4 linked regions of the Mytilus edulis genome follow. The protein of the gene in region 1 purifies or fractionates together with the protein of each later gene. This does not show direct contact. Links are inferred from orthologs where the notes say so. Each region holds a gene or a part of one and is shown in the gene's direction. Other genes may lie near its edges. The genes, in order: NAD-dependent protein deacetylase sirtuin-1-like, DNA (cytosine-5)-methyltransferase PliMCI-like, ATP-dependent DNA helicase Q4-like and DNA topoisomerase 2-binding protein 1-A-like.

Region 1 (7,172 bases):
CGTCCCGTCAAAATTTTGACGGGCGTATAAAAAAACTCCCCTGTTTAACAAAATACTCAATAACTCCAAAATAAAGTTTTGAATCATCAACAAAAAGTATACAGATCTTAAGATTAATATAACAAAGAAGTGTGTAAAGTTTTAAGCAATAATCATAAATTGTTTTTGAGATACGGCACAACATGTAAAAAAAAACCTCCCCCTTTTTTACAAAATACTCAATAACTCAAAAATGAAATTTTGAATCATCACCAAAAAGTATACAGATCTTTAGAATAATATAACAAAGACATGTGTAAAGTTTTAAGCAATAATCATAAATCGTTTATGAGATATGGTGCGACATGTAAAAAAACCCTCCCCCTTTTTTACAAAATAACTCAAAAATAAAATTTTGAATCATCACCAAAAAGTATACAGATATTAAGATTAACATATCTAAGAAGTGTTTAAAGTTTTAAGCCATAATCAAGAATCGTTTTTGAGATATGGTGCGACATGTGAAAAAAACACACCCCTGCTTTAGTTACAAAGTGCCGTAACTCAAAAAGTTTTAATCTTATTTTCAGCAAAAAGTATACAGATCATTTGACCATCATAAGAAACAACTATGTTAAGTTTCATGAAATTTGAATAAGTTGTTCTCAAGTTACAGTGCGACATGTTTACGCCGGACAGACAGACGGACAGACAGACAGACGGACAGACAGACAGACGGACGGACACCGGACATTTGTATACCATAATACGTCCCGTCAAAATTTTGACGGGCGTATAAAAATGTGCTGATATATCTTGATCTATATATATTTTATGATCTTTACCTTTAGATTCATCTCCAGGATGTTTATCAGGGTGACAACTCAGAACCCTGGCTTTATATTCTGTTGTTATCTGTACAGTCTACAAGGGAGAACACAAATTGTATAAGAATAATAAATAATAATAATAATACATTTTTAATAACATTAAAGGAGTAGGTTCGATAAGGCCCTAAAATAACCCCTTTTTTTACCTTAAATTTCATAATAGCATTTATTGACCAATATCACAATGAATCATAGCTAATACATTGATTAGATAGGAAATGAGCCTTTTTGTTAAAAATTTACATCCCTGTGTTCTACTGATGACGTCACAAACACTACTCATTTTTATTTTTCACAAAATTTACCAAATTTTGCATGATTATTGGACAGGAAACATGGAGCGCATACATCGACAAAAAAGATATCTGAACACAATTTTTTTAATGACATTTTGCATGTTTAACTTGAATATTTAGTTTTTCCATGTCTGCACTCTATGTTTCCTGGTCCTAAATTTGGTTGAAATCTGGCCAATTTTTACAAATTTCGTCAAAATCTCTTATTTTGACCTATTCTGGATGTAGAAATCAACGCTTTAGAATAAAACTTTGACACAAATAGTTCTATTTTACTTTCTCACATGTCTATAAGACAACTTAAAACATATTTTACCTTGTACCATTCAATTTTATAATTGGGGCCAAATAAGGCCCTTACCGAACTTACTCCTTAAAATAACTTGAAGGAACTTACTTTTCCATATGCATTTTTAGGCATTTCAATGTGTTCAATTTGTATTGGGTGGTAGATCAATTTGTGTATTTAAAATCATCTTTCTGCCTATTTAAAACCATTACAGTAACTTGATTTTAATCAAACCATATTTTTACAAATACAAATATTTTATTGGCACAAACTCAATTACAATAATTGGCAATGGCCCATACAACATGTACAACAAGTATACAAATAGTAATGATGCAGCAATTAAACAATACTATACATATTACTCATTTATAAGGACATTTGTCCTTAATTCAAACATGATTGATTAATAAAAGATGATATTAATCTAAGTGTTTTTCTACACTTGCTATTAAGTAGTAGTTTGATATATTCATCTTCAGTTTTGGATTGTTTGTCATAATTTTTAAAATAGGACAATTTGATATAAGAAATTTTCTTTGTGATTCATATTTTGTGCAGTGCAAGATAAAATGTTTTTCGTCTTCTATATTTTTATTGACATAATTTGCACAACCTTTCTTCTCTGTTAACTTGCATGTATCTACCGGGTACCTCTTTCAGTTTCAAGATTGTGTGCACTTAGCCTTAGTTTTGCCAAAGCTGCCCTATCTTTCAACTTTTTCAATTGGCCGTTTCAGAATCAAAAGAATCATGGGTAATTTCATAATGTTCGTACCCCAAAATGAAAATAATGTCACGTCATTGGATAAATTTCCATTGTTTATAACATTTTAAACCAATCAGGACCTTTTGGTGTACACTTTTGTAAATATTACCCAGGATGCATTAGATTCTGAAACGGCCAATTGGTCAACATAGGAGCCTCAACATTGTGTGCACGTTTATTTGAAAAATATATGCAAAAAATATTGGAAGAAAAAGAAGGTGTAACGGTTTATTTCTTCCTCTGTGATATTTTATCCTGAGGATAATTTGTCCCGGTAATTTTTTTCCAAGCATGGTATTTTACAGGTTGATTTTTTCCAGAGGAGTGATAATCTATCTGTGTTATGCGGATAGTATGTACCGGTATATATTTGCTGTACTTTATTTCACAGAACGGTGTAAAATAGAGTCCCATTAACTACTATGTAAGTTACTCACAATCAATATATACCTGACTATAATTATAAAATGTTTCACAAAGGTAGACCAAATTTGCACAATTTATCAAAGGGAGGTAAGTATGAGCAATTTATATTTTATAGATATTAATATAATATATTCTGAATCTATTTTATAGTGAAATTTTTCCTTGAATCTTATTTTTATATATTCATTTATATAAAAAGATGACTTACAACTTGATTTAATAAGACAGATAACAATTCACAGGTTAAAACTATCCAGCTGTTAAGCATGCTTTTGTTCCAATATATTATTATGCTATGATTTATCTGATTTCCATATCATCAACAACTACATCTCTGTCCCCAGACAAAACTATTTATATAGTTAAATATCATCATAATCAAATTCTTCTTTTACTGTTAACAGTATTAATGCAACTATATTTCTACCTTACTTTTAAATTTATATTTGTACTGAGATCTGAAAACAACTCACTTTTACATGTATTTCACTAACCTTATTTAATCATTATATTATTTTCACAATTACGATCTTTGAAATTACTTCTGGTTTTCTTCCCTATGTTTCATGATAATTTTCTTATTATAAGGATGATATTGACTTGAATATTTCAGGAAATTTTTTCAAGGATAATTTATGAAATTATTTCCCATTATAAACAATTTTTTTTTAACAATTTCGCTTTATTTCAAATACACTATTATTATTTCATAGTATTTTTAAAGGTAGTCCGAGATTACTCTGACGTCCAACGGCTGTTTTGCCAGACAAGCTGGGGCCGTGGGACATCAGGGCTCTTCCCATATCAAAAAGTGGATATTTGCCCACCCAAAATAGATGCCCTGCTTCGTCGCTTCTCATGCCGATTGAGGGCCTTGGAATCATATAAATCGGGCATCAATCTGTTCATTTTTCATTTATCTCTTCATTTATGTAAGTTTCACCTACCTGCCAACCTTTATTTTCCATATTTTAACAGTTTTCACAGAGACCCATCGATTTCTGCATTTAAAGGATAAGTTTTTTCTAATAACTATTCAATAAGTTAACTACCCAGATAGAATTTCACGGCAAAGGAAAACATATCCCCGGGAAATATTTTCCTACAGATAAAAAAATAACAACAACTACTGTGACATTTTTTCCTCCGGATCAAATTTCACCCGGATATAATTTTGCTTTACATAGGCACATATTCCTTTGAGTAAATAAATTATGCAAATTGCACAATAGTACAAGGATTTCAATACAAATACTTGATATAATTATAAAGGACTGTTACAAACTAAAGTGAAAGTAGATATTGGAAAATAAATTGCATTAGTTTCTACTTGTGTAAGTTGTAAAAACAGTCATTGAATTACGTTAGAATGCTCGTTACAGCCAAGAATTTTATAGAAATCCTCTTCTTCGTCAGGTTCGTAGTTAAATATGGCCTCCATTTAAAGTTTAACTTAAAACTGAGTAGGGAAACTCTCCTTCACAAAATGAGCATGATGATTATTTATAATTAGAAACAGGAAGTTGCGTCGAAGGACTGCGCAGAGCTATCGAGGAAAATGGCGGACCAACCCCTAAAAAATGAACCACCTTTCAAACGTCAAAAACTCAATGAAGAGGGTACTGATGATTCAGGTATACATGTAATAAAACAAAGCATCAATCGATGTATTGAAAATGTGTAATATATAAGCGGGATGTTACTTATTTATTATTGAAATCTACGAAATCCCGAAACTTACCTCCCTTATTTTGATGATTCATTCCTATTATTAGATTTTTACTTTTTTCAGACAAAGAAAACATTTTTTATCCATGGAAGGTGTTTAACCAACAATGTAACTTCACATTAAAATATTTATTGAAGCTGTTTGTTACACCTGTCAGAAAATAAAAACAAAGTTGCAAATTATTTATAAATAGATCAAAGGGCTGTAATCCAGTCTGTTTTTATAGAATAAGGGGAATAACTCTATAACAGTTTGCTACTTTCACTTTGTTTTCAATTTGAGTTTATTTCTTTTTTCGATACCAAAGCTCTAATAAAAACTGTATTTCATATGTGGACTGTATTTGTGATCTTTTGTATAAAGATGAAGAATTGTTGCCCATGCTATAAAAAGTAAAACAACCAATAATGAGCATCACATGGTTCTGGAAGATCTTTTGACCCTTTTATATGTTCATTATTTTTGCATGGGTTCACTGGACAAAACAATGTGTTGGATTTAATCAGTTGTACATGTGTACAACTTCACCAACCCCTTTGCATAATTTGGAACAAAATCAATTATCAAGATGTTTTGCTTATCCAAATTAAAAAATAGGGCTGAAGTGGATATTAAAAAAATTTTTCAACCTTATAACATTATAGAAGGACTACATGTATTAATAAGTCAGTACTAACTTTAGGTCATTTGATTATAAATAATGACATTAACAGTTTATGTCAATTGACCCTATTTGAAAAATTCAAATGCATATAGACTTAAAATTCATTGCTTTAAAGCCTTTAATAAACTCCTGACTTTGATTCATCAGGGAGATTGCATTAAGTTCCATGTACTGGTCTTTATAAAATTCAACCTGTGTCATATTCCTAAATGTTAGAGACCCAGTTAGCTATGTACTAAACCTTTGGAAGTAATTTCCATCCCCGTTAGTATATATTATTGTGTTGCTCAGTTGTGTCATTACATTGTTCATATGGTCTACATGTGCTTGTAATCCCAATTTTGAGTTGTATTTAAATATTTTCAGAACAACAAGGATGTTCTAATATTAATATACCAAAAGATAATGAAGCTGGGAATACTGAGGTAAGCTAATACATTTATACATGATGTTTGAAAATGACATATAAAAATGAGGAGATGTGGTATATGACATGTTATTTTTGTACATGTACAGTACATGTACATGCAAAATTGACAATGAGACAACTATCCACCATCAGGCCAGGGTTAAAATGAAATGGTAGTAATCAATCATAGGGCACTGTACAGCCTTCAACAATGAGACAAACCCATACTGTTTAGTCAGCTCAGGAAAAGCCCCAACATGAAAAATATGAAACAATTCAAACGAGAAAACTAAAAGCCTTATTGATAACAAATCAATTGAACAATAAACAAATACAACCGGCATGCATGAAAACAACAACACCATTTTACTCCAGGTTTCTGATAGGGACACATCAAGAATGTTTTGGGGTTTAATATGTTTGCAGCCCTTACCCTAATCTGAAACAGAAGTGTCTCAGCACACAATAGAAACAAATTGTAAAATCAGTTGCAATTTGCTCAATAATGTTAACTCAAAAGATTGATACAAGGCACAAAAACCACCAACATGAAAATATGGACACAAAACACCAAAGTTACAGTTATTGAAAGCCAACTACAAACATGTACAACTGATAAATCAATTATTTTCTCCAAGGACCAAAGAATAAACCATTACACATCCAACAGATTTAGTGTAAAAGGTCAAACAGTTATGGAAACGCATGTTCTTATGCAATATCAAAATTTAAGTTGCCAGTACTGACAAGATGCAATATCATGAGTTTGCATAACTGTACATGTCAAGCAATGTATATTTAGTCGTGTTTTAATTTTAAAAACAAAATCTATAAACAATATTTAAAGATTTTACTATTGTTTAATTGATCATCTTAAAAAATAAGTTAATTCATAGGATCAAGAAATAATTTATATGGATCGTATCTAAGTTTGTGACCTAAAAAAATGTATATAAACAGCATTACAGTAAGATTTAGGATTTGATATTCTGTTTTTGAATTTTTCAATTACAGTCAAAATTTCCAACCAAATAATTGTATCTATGAATTTATTTGGTAAAGGTTTTGATTAATTTGTGACTTAATTTACCATTTATGAATGAATGTCATTCATTGAAATTAAGGTAAAGGTAAGAACTATGACCTTTTCTAAGTGTAAATCCAGCCAACTACGTACATACATGTCAGATGCTTGAAAACTGAGATACAATGCACACGCTTTTGTGTAAATATAATAAAAATGATATAATTCAAAGTTCCTTATCATGTATTGTATTTGTATGTTTACAGCAAGTTCATGAGGCACAAACAGACAACTCTGACAATTGTAGCGAGATCAGTAATCTGTCAGGACTATCTGAAGAAGCATGGAAACCTACATCAGGTTTGTTTAGGCTTTTACATTTATTTACCTTTAATCCCAGTTAATTGACTCTTCCTCCAAGAGCCATTTGATCAAATTCAGAGCTGATAGGGCTACATATTCAAACATTCTGTATAGTTAACAGATTCACCTTTGATGTATTTAATTCATTGGTCTAAATGTTAGACTGCAACAAATTCTAGAACAACTGAATGCTATGTTAGCATTTATTTATAAATCGGTTTTAACTGTAATTAGAAACCAACAAAACTTCATTTTGATTTGACAATTCTTATGGGAGTTATATCTATGGTAACTTAATGTCAGAGAATCAGATTGTCACTTTCTTTATCATTCT
Region 2 (7,854 bases), on another chromosome or scaffold:
AGTTCCATGAAGGAACTAGAACTGTGAGCGAACTCACAAGAATGATACCCTGTCCTTGAATTTTGGTTATCTCCCCTTTAATGTGTTTAATCATGATAATGTTCCTATGATCATCTCATTTGATAGTGTTCTACAACTGTGTAAACTTTCACCAATATTGATACAGTTTGTTAGCATTGCAAATATGAGAGACAGACAGATAAATAGACAGGGTCATTCATTTATGCCAACAATGCTTTAGTTCATTGCTTTAAAAAGTGAAAGGTTGTTGGTATGAAACAAGCACATTGTTCGAACAATTATAATTCCCATACTACAGGTATATGGGGCTTAGAGAATAAGCATTGCTTTTTACTTTAAGTCATTTTGTTGTATTCACATACATTTTGTGCTTTGATTGCCCATTCCTGTGGCATCTCCACTCCAATTTTTCCCTATCAATAAAAATAAATGCTCATAACATTATTCTTTTATGCTGTATCTCCACAACCATAGAGCCATAGTTCAAAGCATTATTTATTGCATGAGGTACATTGTACCTTATCATTTTTATCTTTTCATGTTAATGTTTGCACTTTCAGCATGACATGACATAAGTATTTCAATGTTTTGTTCTAGACTTACCAACTTTTTCTTGAATTATTTCTGCATTCTGTAGAAAATCCTAATGCAAATTAAGGAAAGAATTCTTTTTCTATCAAAAGAAGCATGTTCAAAGAAAAACATTAATAATTGTGATCAATCCATACACTTTATAGGATTGATTGTTTACTTTATGTATTTGCAATATTTAATTTACATTCAGGATAGGAACAAATAACACACACATTAATTTCAGTAACTGAGTAGGTGCTGCAAATTAAACAAATTAGACAGCCACTTTAGTGAATCCTTGTATAAAGTTGTACCATTGTAGGTCTTTTACCCTTAATATTAAAGAACTGAAGTGGGATGAAAATGTAAATATGTTCATATACAAAAACATTTTACATTTTAAAATGTTTTCACCTTTTCTCTGCTCAAGCATATAAAATTACATTTTTTTGTCATTCAGCCCAGGCAAATTGTTCACAGGAATTTTAACCAACAGCTTAAACTTGCAGAGGGGTCCTGATCCCGAAATCCCAGGCTTAAAAAATGAAATCCTGAGGTCCTGAATTTGAAGAAATTAAAATCCCAACATCCCGAAATTCGAAAAAAAGAATTCTCGGATCCCGAAAGGATCAATCTCGCAATCCAGAGCTTAAAAACACCCAATCCCGGAGTCCAGAAAAAGGTCCAGCCATCCATCTACCTTGAAGACAATTTTATCAAAGGATACAATAAGTTTAGGTAGGGCTTCATCAAGATTCTGTTGACATTTCTGATGGTCCCAGCTGACCACAGATTCAAGAAAGGTTGTCTGTGACATCTATATAAACTTCATCTCCTGAAATAGATATTTCACTTTCTGTATTAGTATATCTACTAATATTTTTTACAAAGTTAGATGTTAAATTTCTAGCGAGTATTCTTCATATGTGTTCCAATCTGGTAGGTTTTTTTTTTTTTAAAGAAAACAATATGCTGAGTGATACACTATTCAATTGGATAATCATGTAAATTATATAAAAAATGTAAACAAGAGTGCACAACCCGAATGTCTTATAATTGAAATCATGTTAAAAGTATGTTATATGAAGAGTTTAATAGTAAAATCACAAGGTATCACATAAACTTAACATTATCAATGTTCTATGAAAATGAGGTCATGGTCAGATGAAACATGCCAGACAAACATGTGCACCTTACAATCATCTTTACGCCAAATATTGCAATATGGCTATAGCTAATAGTACATGAGGAACAATACCATAAATCTTAACAATGACAAATGAACCATGAAAATGAGGCCAAGGTCATATGAACCCTTCCAGACAGACATGTACACTTTATAATTATCATTCCATACAATAGAACACAAAATATAATTGACCTAATGCTTATAGTATCTGAGATACATGTACAGTCTTGACGACATAACTTTAACCTTGATCACTGACCAATGAAATGAGGTCTATGACAGGTGAACCCTAACTGATGGAAATGAAACTTGCAAGAAACCCATATCCAAATTCTATTTCTAGTTTTATCTTAACTTGACCATGTTGACAAAAATACATACTTTGTTTTAGTTTACACTGATCAATGAAAATGAGGTCAAGGACAATGGACCTGAGACAGACAGAAACTTTGTAAACTAAGGTATATGTATGTGCCAATAAAATATTTGTATTTGCAATGTACATGTTCATGTATGGACTATCCAGGTTTTCTACTTTCTGAATTATAAGGCTTTTAATAAATAGTTTACTTAAAACCTCTGCAGCAGTCGCAGGATTGCAATCCCAATGCCTCACATTCTGGGACTTTCCTAGCAGGCAAGACAAAAATTTAAATGGATCATGTTAGCAATACTGGAACATTTAAACCTATAATTGTAATCTGTCAATATGAACTCCAACTGAAGGTCACGATGATAAACTAAATTTAATATCATTATGCAGCTCTTCTATGGATGATGTTTGTATAACAATCAACATCATTCTATAAACTTGAAGGGGATTTTAGTTTTCTGATTTAGTTAGGGTGTTTAATGTCCTACACAACAACTTAATGATATACACATGATACATGTTACAATTGTTATTTCACTCTTAGATATAGGAAGATGTGGTGTGAGTGCCAATGAGACAACTCTCCATACAAATAACAATTTAAAAAGTAAACCATTATAGGTTAAAGTACGGCCTTCAACACGGAGCCTTGGCTCACACCGAACAACAAGCTATAAAGGGCCCCAAAATTACTAGTGTAAAACCATTCAAACGGGAAAACCAACGGTCTAATCTATATAAACAAAACGAGAAACGAGAAACACGTATATATTACATAAACAAACGACAACTACTGTACATCAGATTCCTGACTTAGGACAGGTGCAAACATTTGCAGCGGGATTAAACGTTTTAATGGATCCAAACCTTCTCCCTTAGTCTAAAATAATAAATATTGTATATGTATGGATAGAACATTTACAGTTTGTATTATTTATACCGTAAATTGGGAAATTTTGGCGTCAGGATATTTTGGTGGTTTTCTCTCAAAAAGCATGTGTTTTATTTTGGTGTGTGTAATTTTGGAACTTCGTCCAATTGATTTTTTAAATTTTGGAACAACAGTAGCAGCAATCTCATTCATGAAACCTACACGTTTAATTGTTTTCAAAAAAGTAAAATGCACCTTCTACAATTTAAAAAAAAGTAATAAAGACAGTCATAATTTATATACTTTCATAAAATGTTAATATAAAAATATTACTGATTTGTGGGTTTCTTCTGTATAAATGATGAAATATTTATTTATTATTTAAAATATACTTAACTTTATATTATTTAAAAATTAAATGTAACAAGTTTACTATCGCCTATTTTATATATATTTCTTAAATAATATAAAAACATACAGGAACAAATTTATTATAAAATTTTAGAAAGACACCTTATTATTACTAAACAAACAACCCAATAATTAACAAAAATAAAAAGTTGGCTAAATGAGAATACCTTATTTTAAAAAGTTGGATAAATGGGAAGACACCCCACGCTTTTGATATTCTAATTACCAACAACGGCGTCTAATTAGCAATAGCTTGGCAATTTATGACATGTGTGGATAATTTCCGAAAATTGACAATTAATTAAAAATTGTTTAGTAATGTTGTCAAATTATATCAGGTATTCATTTGCAGATTTAACTATGTATAGATTTGTAGTAAATATACCATGTATACGGAAGATATGAGGCCACAATTAAAAATATCTTGGTTTGCCCAAACCCTACTCAAGGTTGAGAAAGTGGGTAGGTAGGTAGGCATTTTCCTTTTTTTTCTAAAGAAATTGAATTATCAGGTGTTTATTAGTCTTCATATCTGATTGAAAAAAAAATTCTTCAAATCAGGACAATAAAAGAATTTGAGTAGGCTGATTTTTTCTGGGTAGGTAGGGTTTGGGCAAACCAAGGATTTGTATCGTTACTATACAAATCCTAGGGCAAACAAACCTATTCTTTTTTATGGCCTGATAACATAAAATGTTTTCTCCAACAACTAACATAGCAATATTGTTGTACAGGTACGCAATTTTGGCGTTTCAATTAGTGTTTGATAAATTTTCATGTGTTGAATTTTGGCAATTTCATTGGAGGCACCAAATAAACCAAAATAAAACTACATCCAATATAACTAAATTTACGGTATAGTTCTGTGTTCGAGAACACAGGCACTTGTTTCTGTCAAAATTATGTGGGGTTTACTATCCATACCCGTACGAAAAATTACGGATAGTAAAACCCAACATTGACAGAAACAAGTGACTGTGACATATTAAGAGTAGTCTAGAATTCAGAAATGAAATTAAAAGCACAGTTCATTTACTTTAGTGATTTTTTAAAACATTTTGTTCGGGGAGTGAGCTAAATTTGTATTCTAAATCAGTAATTGTGATTCCACTGTTGTTTCTAGACTTGATAGGAATGCTTAAATATTTAGCGAAAATTTACAATATCATGAACCAGCAAAGAGCAAACGATCATATTTTCCGCCAACTTCTTTATTTACATTCTTCACTTCCGGTTTAGTCCATTTTCATGGAAAAGGGATTAACAGATTAAAGAAAAAGCATAAATACAATTTTACACTTCAGTAAATGAAAAATAATCAATTTAGGAAATAAAATATTCATAAGCAAATTGATTGGAATAAGAAAGATATTTAAATAAATATGATTTAATTTTCAAAAGAAGTTTTAATTGTCTAGATTTCCCTATGGAATAGGCCAATATTTCGCGGGAAAGCAACTAAACACAAGGTTGACTTCTCTGTTCATTCTTTGGTTAAAAGAATTCAAAAATGCCAGGGAAAATAGACATTGAAGAAAAGGAAAACTCAGATATTCAAGACAGGTTTGATTTCTCTGATCTTTTAAAGTGGCAGCCTTTTTTTCTATGAATGCCCATAAAACATTATCATCAAGCTCTAAGTTATATTTGGAGCAATCAGTGGCAGCAGGGGCGGATCCAGCCATTTTAAAAAGGGGGGGTTCCTAACCCAGGACAAAGGGGCGGTTCCAATTACATGTCCCCATTCAAATGCATTGATCGTCCAAAAAAAAGGGGGATTCCAACCCCCGGAACCCCCCTCTGGATCCGCGCCTGGGCAGATCTAGGTATTTCCACAAGGGGGTCAATTGACTGCCATGATAGGGGGCCTGCTTGCTCTTATATAGATGATTCACTTAAGAACCAAATTTTTTCAACAAAAAGGGGTGGGGTCATGCCCCCCCCCCTTCCCTAAATCTGCCTCTGGCATTATCTTGGAGCACAGACTGGGTGGCTGGGAGCTAGAAATTATTAAATGTCTTGTTAGGGTGATGTGTCTTCTTATTTTGATATGCAGTTTCAGCTTCATTTATATTGAAAGTTAGGAATTGTTCTTGCATATTGTTACACTGAACCTTGTTAACTTGCATGATAAAAAACTAACTAAGGGTGACAGTATAGTATAAATCACGGTTAATATTCATATTACATTTAAAAGATAATCAGCTATTCATCATCATCATTATCATCGTTATTGTGTCTGTAAACTGTAATATTGTTCTTTCAAATAATAATGCAGGAATTGAAATTTCATAAAATTTTTTTTATCAATATCTTTTTGCAGGTTAAAGGTTTTAGAAGAAGAGTATAAAGATGGTGATGTCACTGAGAAGGTAAGTGACAGTTGGATTGAATCTGTTTTATTAACATGATTAAAGCATAGTTTTGTAAGTGATGAAGGATAATGTTAGATAATGATCATGTGAAATTTCATTTCGAATTTTCCTTAGTTTTAACCAGTGTCTTTATTCAGACAATTTGTGATCATCTTCAATGTGAAATACATGTAGGTCTAGTCCATTAAAAATGATAATTGTAGGCAGTAATGAAAAAGATTAACCCATTTAAATATTTACTCATTAAAATATCATGTGATGTCACTTTTGCTTTGTTTTTTGTTGTTGTTTTTTCTATCTTTTTTGCTTTTATGAGGGACTTGCCTCTTTAAAAGATTGTTTTTTTTTATAATGAACAGGGGTACTGGAGAAAGAAATGCAAAGTTTTAAATGACATTATACCTGAAGGAGTAAAAAGAGATATCAAGGAACTGGAAAGTGAGCTGAAAGATGAAAATATTACTGAGGTAATGACAAGCAATATATGTTATTGTAAAAAAATAATTACAATAATTCTTGTATAAAATTGGTTTATACATATACTTGTACATGTAACTAAGTCCTCCTTAGAAATAAAAACAACACATATAAATTTATTTCGTCAAAGCGTTTTTCAGGATTTACCTTCATCAGGAACACTTGAAGCCAAATAATTGAAAGTCAAGGATATATAAAACCAAAAACAGTTGAAGAGCTTTAGCTTCATTTACACTGATTGCCAATAACTAAACAAGGTTATTTAGAAAATATTTGTATTCACCATTTAAAAGCTAAGTAGTACAAATGTTTTTGTCACAGAGGGAAAGCTATAAAAGAGGAAATGGATTCAGTTTAAAGTTTCCCACAATATTTTACATTTGTAACCAGTGGAGTGAAAACCAATCTGTGAAACTGAATAAAAGATGATATGGAACATATTTCACAAAGGCAGTAACGTAACAAAAACAAAAATTGAAAATATTTTTTTAAATTGTTATTGATTTATTTACCAACTGAAAATAATTGTCTAATTTAAACATGCATGCAATTTTATGTTATTATAATTTAAAAATATATTTACAGAAAGGTTATTTTAAACAACTAGGAAAGTTATTGCAGAAGTTCACTGAATCAAACATTTTGGCAAATGGCAATTCTGTGAAAAATGGCACAGAAAAAAGTAATATGGAGGAAAAAGAAAATGGATCTAATGGTATCACAAAACACAATGGGAATAATGAAAATATAGAAAATGGTAAAAATGGATCTCTAATTGAGGAAAAAGTAGAAAATAAAGAAGAGTTAAAAGATGTAAATGATGAAATCAAGGTAGAGGCAGATATTGAGACAGAAGAGAAATCAGAAGTGACCAAGGAGAAAAATACTAAAAAACAAGAAATTGAAGAGGTACATGTAATACAATAAATGTTGGCAGAACTTTGATATATTAGATTTAATAGTTTTCAATAGTCAGCTGTTTAATATTCTTTTCTCACACTGGCGTATTTTGCAGGTAAAAGGTACTTTGTTGTGTGTGGTGCTGTTTACATTTTTTTCTTTCATAATATTTTTCAAATCCAAACTTTTTTGTTCCTTTTCAGGCCAAAATAAAAAGATTGTATGTTTGCCCAAACGCGACCGACCCAAAATAAACCCGCCGACTCAAATTCTTTTTTTGACGTTTTTTGGAAGAATTTGTTTTTTCGGATTTTTTTTGGGTCCGCTTCGTCATCGTACAAAACTTAATGTTTGTCGTCTTTGCGTTTGAAAGTAATTGTGAATAAGATTAAAAGAAAGCGTATAAGAGACGCAGTTAATCGATATTCGATGTTCTCTGTATTTATCTTCTGATTTAACGAACGTAAAGAAGTGAAACATGTGAAGTGGCACAGTTTTTTTACGCTGTAGTTGTTTGTACTACCAAACCCTTACCTATATGCTCAATGTTAATTTCATCGTGTTATCGAATATCTGATAAGAATATTCAGGTAGATTTGTTCAAAACCATGTGCAATCGAATATTTTCAATGTTATTCTGACAGGAAATGGATCCGGAAGTTGC
Region 3 (7,771 bases), on another chromosome or scaffold:
ATGTACCGAATGCTGATTCACTACATGACACAATAAGCTGTCAATCATTTCAAAAAATCAATAATCGTGCTATCGGGGCATTGAAATCTTAACAGATCGATCAGTTTCCAGTCCTGTTACTGTTAGTATATTATGGGGACGAAGTCCCCAATAACAGTAGAAAATTCAATAAAAAAAAAAATTTGGGATAATTTCCCGAATTTTTCATTGTACTAATGAACTCAAAATCGTTCAATTTTTTTTATGTCATGTTTTGAAATCCCGGACATGCGCAGAAATGTACAATGTACTTTCTTTTTCCGGTCTCGTTTGTATGAAACTTTGAGTAAAATATATATTTATCAGTCTAGTATAAAATAGGAAGGAACGCGCAATACCAATTTCATTTTTAATAATTCCTTGATATGAAAAAACGTTACCTGATGATAGCGTTTCTTTGTTTACATTGCATATGACGTCATAATTTAAATAACGTCACAACTAAAATCCCTAACAACAGAACCAAAATCGGAAACGTTTCGGTATTTCCGTTTCTTTTTTTTTCAACAAATATTTACATTTAATCGTCCCCATTTACAGGTAATGCCTGCCTCATATTAGTTCAAGGTACAATCAATACTAAAATAAATTTTGGTGTCTGAATAAAAAAATATTTACATATTCACAAATGATTTACAAACTGACGAAGATGCCTAAATATAATGACTTTGGTACTACTTTTTAACTGATAATGTATGTGCATGTAAAAAATCACATTTTTACATGTTTAGATAAAAAGTAAAACTATATTAAAAACATTGTCCCTAGCACTAGGCCTAGTAAACAGACATATTTTTTGCTATGGTCTGTCAAACAACACCACTTCGGCACTTGTTATTTACAAACTTTACCTATGGAAAGGGAAACCTTGACCATCAAATATGATAAAATAAATCAGGTGTGGACAGTGCTAAAGATTGTAAACAATTATCGCATGTTTTCAAATGGGCGCAGCCATGTTGATCTATTCTAAATGCAGGACTGGATCTCGGATAAGGACAACGTTTATATTCCGCGTTACCAAAATTTGGAAAACAATTGTGAAGGATTTTCTTATTATGGGACTATAAAATCAATGCATTAACCCCAGGTTTAGACTACTTTCTCATTTATTTTCAAATAAAGCATATTGCGTTTGATAATGACATCTAGTCAAATCGGCACTTGGTTAAATTGGCATCTGGTCAAATCGGCACCTGATATACAAATGCACTTTTCTCATGATTTTTTCCCCCTATATAACTTTGTGTTATATAAAAGTATAAATTTCTATATGTAATTTCTCTATACCTTGTCAAAATGATGGTTTATTGAAAATAAAAGATATGTAGGAATTTTTTCTGAGACGAGTGCCTGTGCTGGTAGGTAAACGGACAGAAAGTCACAGGACTAAAAGTCACAGGACATAAAGTCACAAATTTGATAGGACAAAAAGTCACAGGACAAAACGTCACAAATAATTTGTTGACAATTGATTGGATATATTGGAAAAATATCTTGAAATATTTACTTTTTAATACAAATATTCATATTAAAGTTTAGGAAATGTGTCATTATGATTGAAAAAATAAGATTTATTTAATTTTAATCATGCAAAGGATATATTTCTTAGTACATTTTTTTTTCTATTAACAGTGATCATCTTTGATAATTTAAAAAAATATATAAATTTTGTTTACAAAGTTGGTTTATATGCAATAGTTTAAGAAAAATACAAAAATGTTTTTGTGAAAATACAAGCATTATTTTCTTTTTTTCTTTTTTAAAGAAAATAATGCGGAGAAAAAAATGAGTTGTGACTTTTTGTTCTGTGACTATTTGTCCGTGACTTTTTGTCTGTTACATTTTGTCCAGTGACTTTCTGTCCTACATTTGTTAGTATAATAGTCCAAGGTATTTTACAAAAAAAAAAGAATAAAATAAAGAAGCCGGGGTTGTCCAGAAATATTAACGTATGATTAACACTTTTCAGGGGGTTTTCCGGTTTTTGTATGTAATTTTGTTCAACTTAATGTGTATTCAAAGTATTGGACATTTGTTATAAATGCATGTTTTACCCAGTTATGCATTTTCAATGATTGTTGTTTAATGCTGTTTTTCAGTAAACTCATGATTAAACAACATCTTCGGTAAAGGCTTCACTGTTTTTCATTTTTAACATCACTGAATAACTACCTGACGGATATATATATATAGATTATTTGCTGTTGATAGTGGGGTATGTTTCTTTTTGATACAGGCCCTGGTTGATTAATTTATATTCCTTGTGTGTGTGTGTGTGTGTGTGTGTGTCATTTTAAGGTTTTATGAATTGTTACATCTATCCACTGGCAGGAACATACTATGTTTGATATACTGTTCCCAGATCTATCGGTATTAAGCCGAGTCAGCCCATTATAATTTATGCGAGTACATTTTGGAATATGGCCTAAGCTCGTTTATCACATGTCATCTGTCATGGGAACGCTTGGAATTTGCTTTTACGGAATTCAACCATATCAACGTTAGTTAATAAATAAACTCATCATATCGGAAACAAGGAACACAATTTTGTATTTGCCCCAGACGCGCGTTTCGTCTACAAAAGACTCACCAGTGACGCTTGAATCCAAAAAAGTTTAAAAGGCCAGAAAAGTACGAAGTTGAATAGCATTGAGGACTAAAAAGTCCTTAAATTTTTGCCAATTACACTGAGCCAAAGTAATCTATTCCTGAGGTAGAAAAGTCTTAGTATTTAAAAAAATCAAAGGTTTGTAAACTGTTAATTTACAATTATGACCATATTAATGATAATTCATGTCAACATAGAAGTGCTGACTACTGGGCTGTTGATACCCTCGGAGAATAAAAACTCCACCAGCAGTGGCATCGACCCAACAAGTGGCTTAAAGGCAGTGTTCGTAAATAGACTCACCATCTAGATACCAGGATTGAATTTTGTGTTTCTGCCTAATGCGCGTTTCGTCTACAAAAGACTCATCAGTGATGCTAGAATCCACTGCTTGAGTACGCAGGCACAGTTTTGGATTCACTTTTTAACAACATTCATGTAACAATTAGATATTGTGCAAAGATGATCAGCCTTATCTGAAATGAACGACTACCGCGTTTGAGAGTGGACACCTCAAACCCCCTCCTACGTACGTCAGTCATTTGAAACAGCTAGGCGATAGGATGGCGAGATGAAGTTGGCAATAACAACACTAGAATATTATACCGCATCACTAATAACTATAGGGGCATGTCGCATATACGGCACCAGAACATCAACAAAATTATTTATGAAAGGGAAATTTTAAAGTAATAGTTCGTAATAAGCAGTAAGTTTGACCCAAATATGTTAAAATAAGCTCTAAACATCAGTGATGTATTATTCACTTGTAAGTCATGCCTGCCAACTGTCACTATTTGCGCCGGGGATATTTCCCCCATGAAAGCTTCCAAATTTAAATTTGAATGCGGAGCAATTTTGTCAACAATTTTAAACAAAACAATAAATTTCACCATAGCTGTAGGGTTTTCAAAGTATGAAGAAGCCGAAAAATAACAGTTTTAAAATACATTAGAAGGCCGCCTTGACGATTTTGTAGAGCCAACTTGCACACAAAACCCCCAATGGGCATTTGAAAAATTGGAAGGTATGGTAAGTCAATAATCGGCAGCCTGTGGAATCCGTATTCACGTGACCTTCAATCTAATCCCTTAGCTTAAGACTATGATCTCTATATGTAATAGGCATGCTTAGCTGTAAAAAGGAAAAGAATACCGGTCATCATTGAAAGGGAAACAAGGGTTAACTATTTCGTTGACTGATTCGATCAACAAACAGTATGCATTATACTACCGGCATCATTTTTGTATACGCATGTTTAAAATCTGCAATATCTAACCAAACAGACAAATTAAAAAAGTCACATAGAAAAAATAATCAGATGCACGTGCTTTTGATATCTATTTCAGTGGCGGATCCAGGGGGGGGGGGGGGGGGGGTTCCGGGGGTGCGCACCCCCCCTTTATTTTTGCCGATCAATGCATTTGTATCGGGACATATGTTTTGCACCCCCACTGCACCCCCCCTTTTGCCCTGGGTTAGCACCCCCCCTTTCGAAAATTCCTGCATCCGCCCCTGTATTTATATCTATACATAAGTTTATTATCGGTTGTATGACCGTCGGCAGTCGTTGGAGGTAATATCGATGGCACGTTAATTAAATGGTGGTCAACACTTAGATACACACAAAATGCTGATACATATCATAGAGGCCCATGTATTGTTAATCGTTAATTTTGGTTGACGTTTTGTTTATTATAAATTAAATGTGAGATTTTGAGATATATCAGGAAACATGGATTTGGCAGCTTATGCTTCAGGTAGTTACAGTCACATCTTCTTACCTTTGTTGAAAACTAAATATAAAATACTACCAACGTTACCGTGATGACCATATTATGATTTTGTCCTCGGAATTCGGTATTTTTGTAATTTTTCTTTTTACCTTTACAATTGTAATACATATCATATTTAAACAGTATATGCAAGATATAAACACATCATCTACAAGTTATCTTAAACAAGTTGTTAAAAAATTTAAATCATACGATAGCGGTAAATAATTTCACAAAAATTGAATCAACACTTTATCATATCGAATGTACACTTTACTGTTCTGTACAATCTGGTTTCATTGTAATTTTACCTACGGATATCAACAGTTTAAAATCGGAAACCAGTTATGTTGAATTAAATATTGCGGGAAAGAGAACTTGTTGACAAATGGTTCAAATTGAATTAAACATCTCCAACAGCGTTATCAACTACTTAAATCATGTTATGAACATTAATATATACGTACACTGGTTATAAGGTAATTCAATAAATACACTAATTATTGAATTTATAGGCAATTTCTTCTATAATCATGAATTTTCATGAAATAATTGCCATTGGACATAAGTCATTAACTTAAGCAAGCATTAATCAAACAGTCTCAGATAAAAAAAAAACCACCATCATAAATATATGAAAAGATACCAAGGCAGCACGGGCATCTATAAAAAAATCATTAACAATATTGTTAAACCAGGCATGCGCCGGAAAGTAATCATCAACCAGTTGATGTTTTTCTGTATATAAAGAAGAAGAAGAAGAAGAAGAAGTGGAAAAACCAACAACACCATAAAAAAAGGAGAAAACTATGAAACTATTTTACAACTATTGCCTTTATTTCTTCGTATTGGTGGTCTCTTGTTTGCCATAGAGGTCCAGAATGCGTTGGATCTAACTCCTGTGTGGTCTGACCGAGAACAGTAAAATCGGTTTTTGCTTCTGCACTCCTATAAAAAAATAAATAGATATAGGAAGATGTGGTACGAGTGCCAATGAGACAACTCTCCATCCAAGTAACAATTTATCAAAAGTAAACCATTATAGGTCAAGGTATGGCCTTCAACATGGAGCCTTGGCATTATTTAAGGAATAACCGTTTCACACATGATATTGGATATGTTCCTTAAGTTATAACTAACATCCACTTCCCTTTTCACCACGAATGTGACCTACAATGTACCCTATTAGACTACATGTATTTACTGGGTTTGTAATAACATGAGCAACACCATGGGTGCCACATGTGGAGCAAAATCTGCTTACCCTTTCGGAGCACCTGAGATCACCTCCAGTTTTTGGTGGGGTTCATGTTGCTTTGTCTTAAGTTTTCTATGTTGTGTCTTGTGTACTATTATTTTGTCTGTTTTTTTATTTTTTACCCATGGGGTTCTTTATTTTCTATCTATGAGCTGATCTTCACCATTACCTGAAAAAATTGTGCAACATCACAACATAGAAAGACTAAAATGAGTAATTAAAAAATATCAATTCCTTTAAGCATGTTTAAACAAAGATTATTGTTTGTTAAGTTTCTCCTATATACCATGTATACTTTAATTTAAACATGCATTTAACAGTTCAACATTTTATGTATTTTAAAGCTATCTCTTATTTTTTTCAGATATATATATATATATATATATTTAAAAGAAGATCATGATGATCAACTAGAATGAAACAGGATGTCTGGAAGTAGTTATGATGAAGCTCAAAAATTGAAAAAGAATCTGAAGAACTGGGAAGTTGATTTTATATCAAAGCATGATAGAAAACCTAAAAAGGTAAGCATGTCTGTTTGAGTAAGTTCATAATTGAAATTGTAACAAAATGCAAAAGAAATGTTCATGCATCAGTTAAATATCTGCACTAACTTCTTGTATTCATATAATCATCTGGTAATTGACCTCCTGTGTGTCTATAACATATCGTTTGTCAACTTTGTACATTTCAACAGCATTCAGCCTGCAAATGTTCAATGTGAAATTTCATGATAATTCAATACAACTTTGAATTATGCAGTACATATGTATAAAAAAGAAGATGTGGTATGATTGCCAATGAGACAACTGTCCACAAGAGACCAAAATGACACAGACATAAAAAACTATAGGTCACTGTACGGCCTTCAACAATGAGCAAAGCCCATACTGCATTGTCAGCTATAAAAGGCCCCGATATGATAATGTAAAGCAATTCAAACGAGAAAACTTAAAAAAATGAACGAAGAACAAATATGTAACACGTAAACAAACGACAACCACTGAATGACAGGCTCCTGACTCGGGACAGGCACATACATGAATAATGAGGCGGGGTTTAACATGTTAGCGGGATCCCAACCCTCCCCCTAACCTGGGACAGTGGTATAACAGTACAACATAAGAACGAACTATAAAAATCAGTTGAAAAAGGCTTAACTCATTAGATGGACAAAAATACATTTTTATTTAAGATGTTCATGTGCGGATGGCAGATTTCTAATATTTGATATTTAATATGATAAATTTCTACATTTGAAGATCGGCAATGATTGAAATATAGATTTTTAAAACATGAGATGTCATAAATGTTTATGGTTAAAGAATTATAACTATCATATTACACTATCTAAATTATGTTTATTTGATTCTTATTTTCAGGAAGATATTGATGCAGCTCCACAAAACATACAAGGTAATGATCATTGTAACTTTAAAAGACCTACCAGTAATTCAAAAACTTAATATTTCACATGTTTGCCAACAGTTAAAAGTCCATGTCAGCTTTTATCATAATGAAGAAAAAACAATGTATAGATTTGGTGTGTCCCAATCAATATTTTTGGTTTTTCTTCACTAGGATTTCTCAAACCCAGAATGTGATGTCCAAATGATATACAAGTAATAGAGTATGCTAGGAGCTATATGACCAAGAAGGGACTTAAAATAAATAGCCAAATACATGCATGATCAACTTTACCCTAAGGAAGTTGGGAAAGAGAAGGGAAATTCAAACTCAATAATAGAAAAATATTGCCATGAAAAAGAATAGATTAAAAGGCAAAACACAACATAGAAAAACTAAGACTGAGCAAAAGAATGTTGTAAGAAAAAACTAAAGACCAACAACACTAAATACATAGGACAACATAGAAAACCAAAGACCAACAACACTAAATACATAGGACAACATAGAAAACTAAACACCAACAACACTAAATACATAGGACAACATAGAAAACTAAAGACCAACAACACTAAATACATAGGACAACATAGAAAACTAAAGACCAACAACACTAAATACATAGGACAACTTAGAAAACTAAAGACCAGCAACACTAAATACATGGGACAACATAGAAAA
Region 4 (7,824 bases), on another chromosome or scaffold:
TATTTCAATAACACAAAAGTAAATATGAAATAATAACGAAAATAAGGATGCATTCAAGAAAAATATACTTACCAAATGACCGTTTCCGGTCAAAAATCTCGTCAGTTTTAACTAAGCATATCTAGACGGCAATAATTTTCTATGCAATAAACCGAAAGGCCACTTGTAGAGCTATGCATATAACCGGACAATTTAACATTAGATGAATGGGAAATGGTTTTGTGCAGGAGAAAACTATGCAATTAACCGAATTATGCTATTAAGCGGTATGCAATTAAGTGGAATCGACTGTATAAGCTACATGTATTTAATCACTAATTCTAACCCCTCTATCAGGACATCAAACAGAAAAGCATTATCTCATGAAATTTGATTCCTAACTTTAGATATCTTTGATACATAAATATATTCATTAAACAGGAAGATGATGGGCAATGAATCAAAAAATGTGTCACACATGATCTTTGAATAATAAATAATTTCATTTGTGTAAAACTACAAGTACAAACTTACTGATCCAATAGATCTTCCTCTTTGAGCTGCAAAATAAAAATAAAATGCTGGAGTCTGATATAAAATACAAACTAATCAAACTTCAGCACAAAAACAAGGAGATTGAAAATTTATCATAAAAAATAAATTCAAATGTTGTAATATTACTTGCACTAGTTAGCCTTTACATTTAACAAACATTATCAAGTTCAACAATGACAAATAACATCCCCTTTACACTAAAACAATTACAAGTTCAACTATTGCAAAGCTTTGTCTAAATTCTAAGTTACACTTATAAAACATGGCAACATCAGTTTGATTCAAAATGTAAAAAATGTTCAAAATGATATAAACATGATAAACATGATGAACATCAGTAGAATACTATTTCATGTATTTATAGAATATTATTCAAGTTGTTCAATGAATTACTTTTTATTGACTTACGTGTAACTGGTCGCTCTTGTGTGTGTGTTCGTATGAGAGGTAATGCCATCTCTATTAATACTGGTTCTGTAAGAGATAATGCATGTAAATTATCAAAAAATCATTGCATAAAGTCTGAATACATGTATGTAAAGATAGATGGATGATGTAAACAGCTTGTACAAACACATTCAGATAAACCATCAATAAGTACTGTATAACTGAACATATTGATCATGATTGATTATCAAAATATTCAACAGCAATACAATAAAATATTATAAAAAAGAAATTGTCCTGATTCATGATAGGCATCAGTCATGGGTAATCAACCAAATTACTCTTTTACCTTTTAAAGCAGTTTCTGACTAACAATTTAAATAACAGAAAATAGGAAAGATCTCCTTGCCCTTTTTTAAGATGGTGGTCCATCACACTTGTTGATATATATATATATATATATAGTGGATCCATTTGCTCCCAAAACACATAAGCCCACTGGGTTCTTTCGAATTTGCACCCTATTTTTGTTCAAAGAAAGGCTATATTACATCCCAATATTTATATTTTCAGGAGAAAATAAATCTTAATCTTATGAATGAATTATTGGGTTTTTTTTGTTGTGATTAATAGATGTTTTATCCTTAAATGTTCATGATGTTGATTATTCATAACTGATTATTTGGTATTAAAAAGCTAATATGGTATTATTGTTATGTATTTTGACATTCATTTTTGTTGTTATAATGACCTTGAATTACAATTCCTATATATCGTCATTATTATTCCTGATAAATATATTTTTTAATTGGGAACAGATTGACTTTAAATATGGGACAGGATCGACTCGGGACAGACAACATGGAAGCAAGACATGTAGATGGTTGTTATGCTGTACATGATGCTGTATAAACTATTTACCATGTTTTTCACTTGGAAAAAAATATTTATACAGTCTTCACGCTTAGTGGCAGCCCATGATGGTAAAATTGCTCTGGGGCCTGTAAAAATCAGACCTACAGGCCAACATAATCTTAACTAAAACTTTCCAAAAATTGAGCTGTGGGCCTGTAGGTTTAGCAGTTCAGCGTGAAGACTGTTTATATCATATAAATGTGCTTTATTTGTGGCATTCCCTTCATGTTCCTTCACCTCAGATGTCATCATATCATACGACTAACAATGATTACTCTAGGTAGAAATGATATTTAACGTTAACCATATTGCTGTTTTCTTGAGTACAGCGCCAAATGTTTCCAGAGAGCATGATTTTCTTGGCAAAGCCATATTGTCTTCTCCAAGACTTAAGCTGGGGACATCTGAGACGCATGGCAGCGCTTTAGATCAAAGGGTTAAGGTGCTGTAGTGTAGAATCACGCTCTATAGTTACACAATTCAAGTATGGCGAACGCAACCTATAAAAGTCATGGAAGTGGGGCTTTCAATTCTAGAACCCTTCTGGATAACCCTTTACAGCTTAACCCTCTTGCTTCCGGAGGGATACATATGTCAGTCTACAACCACTGTGCTGGAGGGACACATATAAATGTATGTCCATGTTTTGATTTATGCAAGCTTCTGATCATTGCTGTTCCTCTTTCAAAATGAAAGACCGAACATTAATATGTTTCTACAATGGCTCTCACATGTAACGGTCATTACAACATGACGTCATATATTGATTGACGTCATTGTTTGGCATTTCTTGTCACAAACGTCGAGTGGTCGTATTTTCTGGCATATGAAATGCAACCCTGAAAAACAACTGGCAGCAAGAGGGTCAAGAGTGCAAAATTCATCACAGAATTTGCACTGCCACTAGGATAAATAGTTAATAATTTTATGAAATTATGTCTATTATTTCTTGAAAAAAATGCATTTTGAGCTACAGACTGTCTACTTCTACTTTTACCGGATAATGGCCACAATCAACTAATTGAATATTTTGCCATGACTTCGGTGCGCATACGGACCCCTCCCCCCTCCCCCCATATTGTTTGAATTTAGTTCAGCTTTGTCACCGAGGCTTTAAAAGCCTCGACTGACGGCGCTGACACTACCCCAGGAGGTAGACTGTTCCAATCTTTGATGGTTCGTGGAAAGAAAGAAAATTTCCGGTAATCATTTGATGCTGCTGGAATTTGGAAGCTTCTGTCATGCATATTTCTTGACAATCGTTTAGGTGGAATCAAACGATCTTCCTTTGTCACAGCAACTTTCTCGTTTACTATTTTAAAGAGCATGGTTAGTCTTGCATCTTTTCTTCTTTGTTCAAGTGATCTCCATTCTAGGTTGTTTAACATCTTGCTTACACTTGAGTGATTTTAGTGTTTATTCATCACATAACGTGCTGCACGTCTCTGAACCATCTCAATTCGGTCTATTTCTGTTTTGTTGTATGGATCCCATACAGACGTTGATCCGATGTTCAGGTTTTGTTTTAGAAAGCCGATTGTTCTATTGGCTTTGTTGCAGATGTTGTTAACATGGTCATTCCATTTCATTTCGAACGTGAATGTGCAGCCTAGGTATTTTGCGCTTTTGACAAGTTCTAAAGTGTGACCATGTAGTTTGTATGATGTTGCAATGGTGTTGTTTTTCCGGCTGATGGTGAGTACATTGCACTTGTCTGGGTGGAAGGCCATTTTCCATTTGGTTTCCCATATTGCCAATTTATCTAGATCTTTTTGTAGGTCGTTGGAATCTTTGTCGTTTGATATTGTAAGGTAGTCTATGGTGTCATCAGCAAATAGGCGAATAGTAGATTTAATTCCATCAGGCATGTCGTTGATGTAAAACAGGAATAGCGAAGGCCCAAGGACTGAGCCTTGGGGTACCCCAGATTCTACATCAATATGTGATGAGCTCTCTCCATCCACTACTACTGCTTGTGTCCGATGTGATAGGAAGCTAGCAATCCACCTATTGACATTTCCTCTGATTCCGTAGTGTTCGAGTTTATGAACGAGTAGACTGTGACCAACTTTGTCGAAAGCTTTAGAGAAATCCATAATTAGTACGTCTGTCTGTTTACCTGCACTCATGTTTTTAGTGATGTCGTCCACAAATTCAATTAGCTGGGTTTCACAAGAACGTTTGGAGCGAAAGCCATGTAGTAATGGGTATAGAATTTGGTGGCGATCTGCATGGTTCATGATATGGCTTGTGATTATGTGCTCTATGAGTTTGCAGCATATGCAAGTCAGAGATATTGGTCGGTAGTTCTCTGCTCTATATCTCTCGCCTTTCTTGAAGACTGGGCTAACATTGGCATTCCTCCAGTCAGATGGTACATCCCCTGTTTCGATTGATGTTTGGAAGATCAGTGTGAGTATAGGGGCTATTTCCTTCGCTAGCTCTTTCAGTAAATCTTGGTCTTATGTCATTTACTTCCTGTCTATTGCTTAGTTCTAACCAAGTCATCATATTCGTTTCTAAGATCACCTGTCAGTGTGAGAATTGATATAATTGTCAGTAATAATTTCTTGCTGACCCGAATGATGGCTAAATAATTTATTCAACATTTGTTCAATGCCAATTCCAATGGGCAAACAATATTTTTGATGAGTTTTCAGCGATTCGAGGTGATTAAAATATATGCAATAACACGTTGGTTGGGTTTTGTCATTAATATATTTGCATACGATCTGATTTAAAGCATGTTTTTAGGGATATAACTACCTTATTATTTCTCACTTTTCGGCATTGACAAAAGAAAATGAAATCTCGTAAATTCTCGTGACGCGATGTATGATCATGTATACAAATGTTATAATATTTTTTTTTAATTCCAATAATTACAATCTGTGTGAAACCCTTTACATTTTGACCACGAAAATTGTTACTAAATTAAAATTAACTTAAGAAAATTAATTATATATTATTTATCACGTTTTCGGCGGGATTTGCACGGCAGGCGGTTTTTCGGAAATCCCCGAAATTCCGAATTACATTTATTTGTTTTGAAAGTTTAAGTTAACAAATGATTTAATGAAAACAAAGGTAAAAAATGAAACAGATGTCATGAAATTTCAATGAAGAAACAAACATAACCCTTTAACTGTGTCACAAAGCCACTGAAAATAACAGTAGCATTTTCCCTAACTTTTGACAGTTTTACAAACAACATGCTGTCAGTGCATCATCTGTGAAAATCTCAAAACATAAAAGTTTAACATGAAATTGATTGATTAATACAGATTTTTTTAGTAATTTTGTCACAGGATTTTTTTACGGAGTTTTTGCTCTGTCTACTGATTTAGTTTATTTGAAAGGAACAGTTCTCTGACTATACTTTCAAGACTTTTCAGCCACTAACTGCAGAAGTTGCTATATCCTACTGTATAACTAGATGTTAGAGGAAATGAAATAGCTGATAAACTAGCTAAAGAGGCAAATCAAATTCAAAAAGAAGCTCATATTACAGTAACTAAACAAGATATTAAAACAGCAGCAAGAATTTTAGTAAATAAAAAGTGGCAACATAGATGGGATAATAGTGATACAGGAAGATTTTATTATAACTTTCATCAGACTGTCAGCAAAAAATCTACATTTGATTATCCAGAACATAAAACAGCAAAAATTATTAGAAATTTAAGATCCGGATACTACCTAAAAAATTACAAGAACAAAATCAATCAAAATATAGACCCCAAGTGTGAATGTGGTCAATTAGAAACTGGAACATTATTTATTATTTTGTGAAAATTATGAAGAGGCAAGACAGAAACTTATACATGAGATATACTTTAACACAGGATCGTTGCATATTGATTTGGAACTTTTATTGTCAATAGAAAAAAACGACAATGTCTCCGTCTCTAATGAAACACTAATGCGATTGTTGGGTGACTTTATTTGCGAGTCGGGCCGGTTTGATTAATGTAATGTTAAATTTTTAAATTTTTTTTTTTTTTTCCTTTAAATTTTCATGTTAATAAATAAATGTATATATCTTTTTAATTTTTGTAAAAATATGTTAAGCAGTTGCCACCTAGTAGTATATATCTTAAAGTACAAGTGAGTTGTTTACCAGAGTGAAATATATACACGCGAGACTTGAAAAATTACAAGGGAGACAATCCAGTGTCAACAGCGACACCTACAGAATACTGTATTCTAAAATCGGTCATCTTGATGGGAATCCGGGTCCGTTCACCCAGATTCATGTTCACCCAGGGTCCATTCGCCCTGATTTTTATTTTTTTCTAGTTGTTGTCTAGTCGCATTATTTTAAGTATTTGAACAAAGTATTCTGTATTCAAAATATGTTAAAGTTTGAATGTTTTTTTTTAAATTGACAGAATATTTATATTGCCGCAATCAATTTATCATTTTCCCTTTGATTTGCAGAGTAGAAATTTCAATGTATTCATCTTTATTGATATTTGTTAACAAAATAATTGTATTCGGTCAATCACAAATGTATGGCAGTATGACTAGTCTTAGACTTAGTAGAGTATAAATAAATGAACTTGTAAATTTTATCCGTTTTTAAATATTAATCCACCAAAAGACAAGTATCACAACAATCAGTGATTTGAATTATTTTGTCATTGAACAATTAATTATCCTAAACAAGCCTTAAACTTTTAAATATTTCAATATTTCAAGAATATACATGATATACATACCATAGAAATATCTAAATAAGTTAATTCAACTTCAATGCCCTCAATATTAATCTTTTTATAGTAGGGCGAACAGACTCTATAGGCAAACGAACTCAGAGCGAACGAACCTAGGGGGAACATGTTATTAGGGCGAACGGTCCTGATACAAAATGTACCTCTTGATGGTTTCTTCAGTATTTGTGTTTGTTTTTATCACATGGGAAAACTTCCCATTGACGTCACTACTCTTATACCAGCGTTCAAAATTAGTGCAGAGTACGTTATTTTTTTACTCTTCTAAATAAAAAAACATTTCTAAAGATATGTTTTCATTGTTGAAATAAAAATGTTGTATAAAAAAGTATTGTATAAAATGCCATTTTGTTAATGGCTATTTCAAACCTGACTTCTGAATGCCTATTGGCTAAAACATTTCAGAACTTCCCAAAATCCCACTTCCTGCCTCCATATACCTAATCACTATTTATTCCATTCCGGATAAGTTCTAAAATTACACAACTTTTTCATCCAGTTGAAGCTTTCTGGGATCCTGTTTAAACAATGCACCGTGCATGATACTTTTTAATGAGACCTGTTTAAACTACCGTATATATATATATTTAAATGTATATCAATAAAAAGTACAGTAGAAATAACATTACAAAGTATGGCTGAAATGTCCCTTCATCAGTCAGCGATTATTGGACTGTTGTCATCTGTAAATCTTTGTGATGTCCAGTAATAATGCTATAGACTAGAAAACAGGTGTTTTATATAATGTATGTTTTTATTTTAGATGATGCAATGCTTTTTGTTTTTGATAGTTATGTGTGTTAATCAATGCTTATTGAATTTGCTTGTCTTCAATAAAATCCAAGAGTAACTAGCTACCAGTCTTGTGAGTAGAAAAGAAATTCTTTTGACTACAGGCTTTTTACATGGTTTAAGTAAATAATTATTTTAGATCCATTATAAAATTATGGCACCTGTCCCACAAGCAGTCCAGTTCGAGTGCTAGGCCTATTAACAAGCATGGAAAATAGGTTTTAAATTTGCTTTCATTGTTCAACTTATTACAATAAAAATTATTTTTTTCAGCTTTAGATTGTTGTTTAAATAATATACAGAATGTCTGAAGGGGACTTTAAAATGTTCTGCATCAGAACAGATGGCAGCTCTGGTAGAAATGGTGCCACTAAAGCTATGTTTGATGCATATGCAGTAAGTAAATTTATATATAACATTTTCAGAAAATGGCTTCCAATTTTATTTGTTTGTGCATGCAGAA

The links.
Region 2: the proteins of NAD-dependent protein deacetylase sirtuin-1-like (region 1) and DNA (cytosine-5)-methyltransferase PliMCI-like purify together in Homo sapiens (affinity purification with western blotting; 3 studies listed by BioGRID and IntAct, with this or other methods). This does not show direct contact. The link is inferred for Mytilus edulis from reciprocal best matches to the Homo sapiens genes SIRT1 and DNMT1.
Region 3: the proteins of NAD-dependent protein deacetylase sirtuin-1-like (region 1) and ATP-dependent DNA helicase Q4-like purify together in Homo sapiens (affinity purification with mass spectrometry; 3 studies listed by BioGRID). This does not show direct contact. The link is inferred for Mytilus edulis from reciprocal best matches to the Homo sapiens genes SIRT1 and RECQL4.
Region 4: the proteins of NAD-dependent protein deacetylase sirtuin-1-like (region 1) and DNA topoisomerase 2-binding protein 1-A-like purify together in Homo sapiens (affinity purification with western blotting; 3 studies listed by BioGRID, with this or other methods). This does not show direct contact. The link is inferred for Mytilus edulis from reciprocal best matches to the Homo sapiens genes SIRT1 and TOPBP1.

What each region holds. Positions count from the first base shown.
Region 1 is NC_092352.1:28,141,352-28,148,523, forward strand, and holds the start of NAD-dependent protein deacetylase sirtuin-1-like, read left to right. Parts: upstream 1-4,160; 5' UTR 4,161-4,207; coding exon 4,208-4,283; intron 4,284-5,408; coding exon 5,409-5,467; intron 5,468-6,741; coding exon 6,742-6,835; intron 6,836-7,172. Other genes in the region: dnaJ homolog subfamily C member 12-like, read right to left, coding at 825-903, 4,013-4,090. UniProt on the Homo sapiens protein: NAD-dependent protein deacetylase that links transcriptional regulation directly to intracellular energetics and participates in the coordination of several separated cellular functions such as cell cycle, response to DNA damage, metabolism, apoptosis and autophagy.
Region 2 is NC_092345.1:50,025,700-50,033,553, forward strand, and holds the start of DNA (cytosine-5)-methyltransferase PliMCI-like, read left to right. Parts: upstream 1-4,850; 5' UTR 4,851-4,948; coding exon 4,949-5,001; intron 5,002-5,761; coding exon 5,762-5,810; intron 5,811-6,172; coding exon 6,173-6,280; intron 6,281-6,875; coding exon 6,876-7,199; intron 7,200-7,854. Other genes in the region: FIGNL1-interacting regulator of recombination and mitosis-like, read right to left, coding at 625-664, 1,322-1,411. UniProt on the Homo sapiens protein: Methylates CpG residues. Preferentially methylates hemimethylated DNA. Associates with DNA replication sites in S phase maintaining the methylation pattern in the newly synthesized strand, that is essential for epigenetic inheritance.
Region 3 is NC_092348.1:88,494,357-88,502,127, forward strand, and holds the start of ATP-dependent DNA helicase Q4-like, read left to right. Parts: upstream 1-4,754; 5' UTR 4,755-4,904; intron 4,905-6,047; 5' UTR 6,048-6,108; coding exon 6,109-6,207; intron 6,208-7,065; coding exon 7,066-7,099; intron 7,100-7,771. UniProt on the Homo sapiens protein: An ATP-dependent DNA helicase which unwinds dsDNA with a 3'-overhang in a 3'-5' direction. Does not unwind more than 18 bp of dsDNA. May modulate chromosome segregation. The N-terminal domain (residues 1-54) binds DNA Y-shaped DNA better than ss- or dsDNA.
Region 4 is NC_092353.1:31,999,165-32,006,988, reverse strand, and holds the start of DNA topoisomerase 2-binding protein 1-A-like, read left to right. Parts: upstream 1-4,810; 5' UTR 4,811-4,923; intron 4,924-7,634; 5' UTR 7,635-7,664; coding exon 7,665-7,757; intron 7,758-7,824. Other genes in the region: zinc finger protein 1-like, read right to left, coding at 514-539, 943-991. UniProt on the Homo sapiens protein: Scaffold protein that acts as a key protein-protein adapter in DNA replication and DNA repair. Composed of multiple BRCT domains, which specifically recognize and bind phosphorylated proteins, bringing proteins together into functional combinations.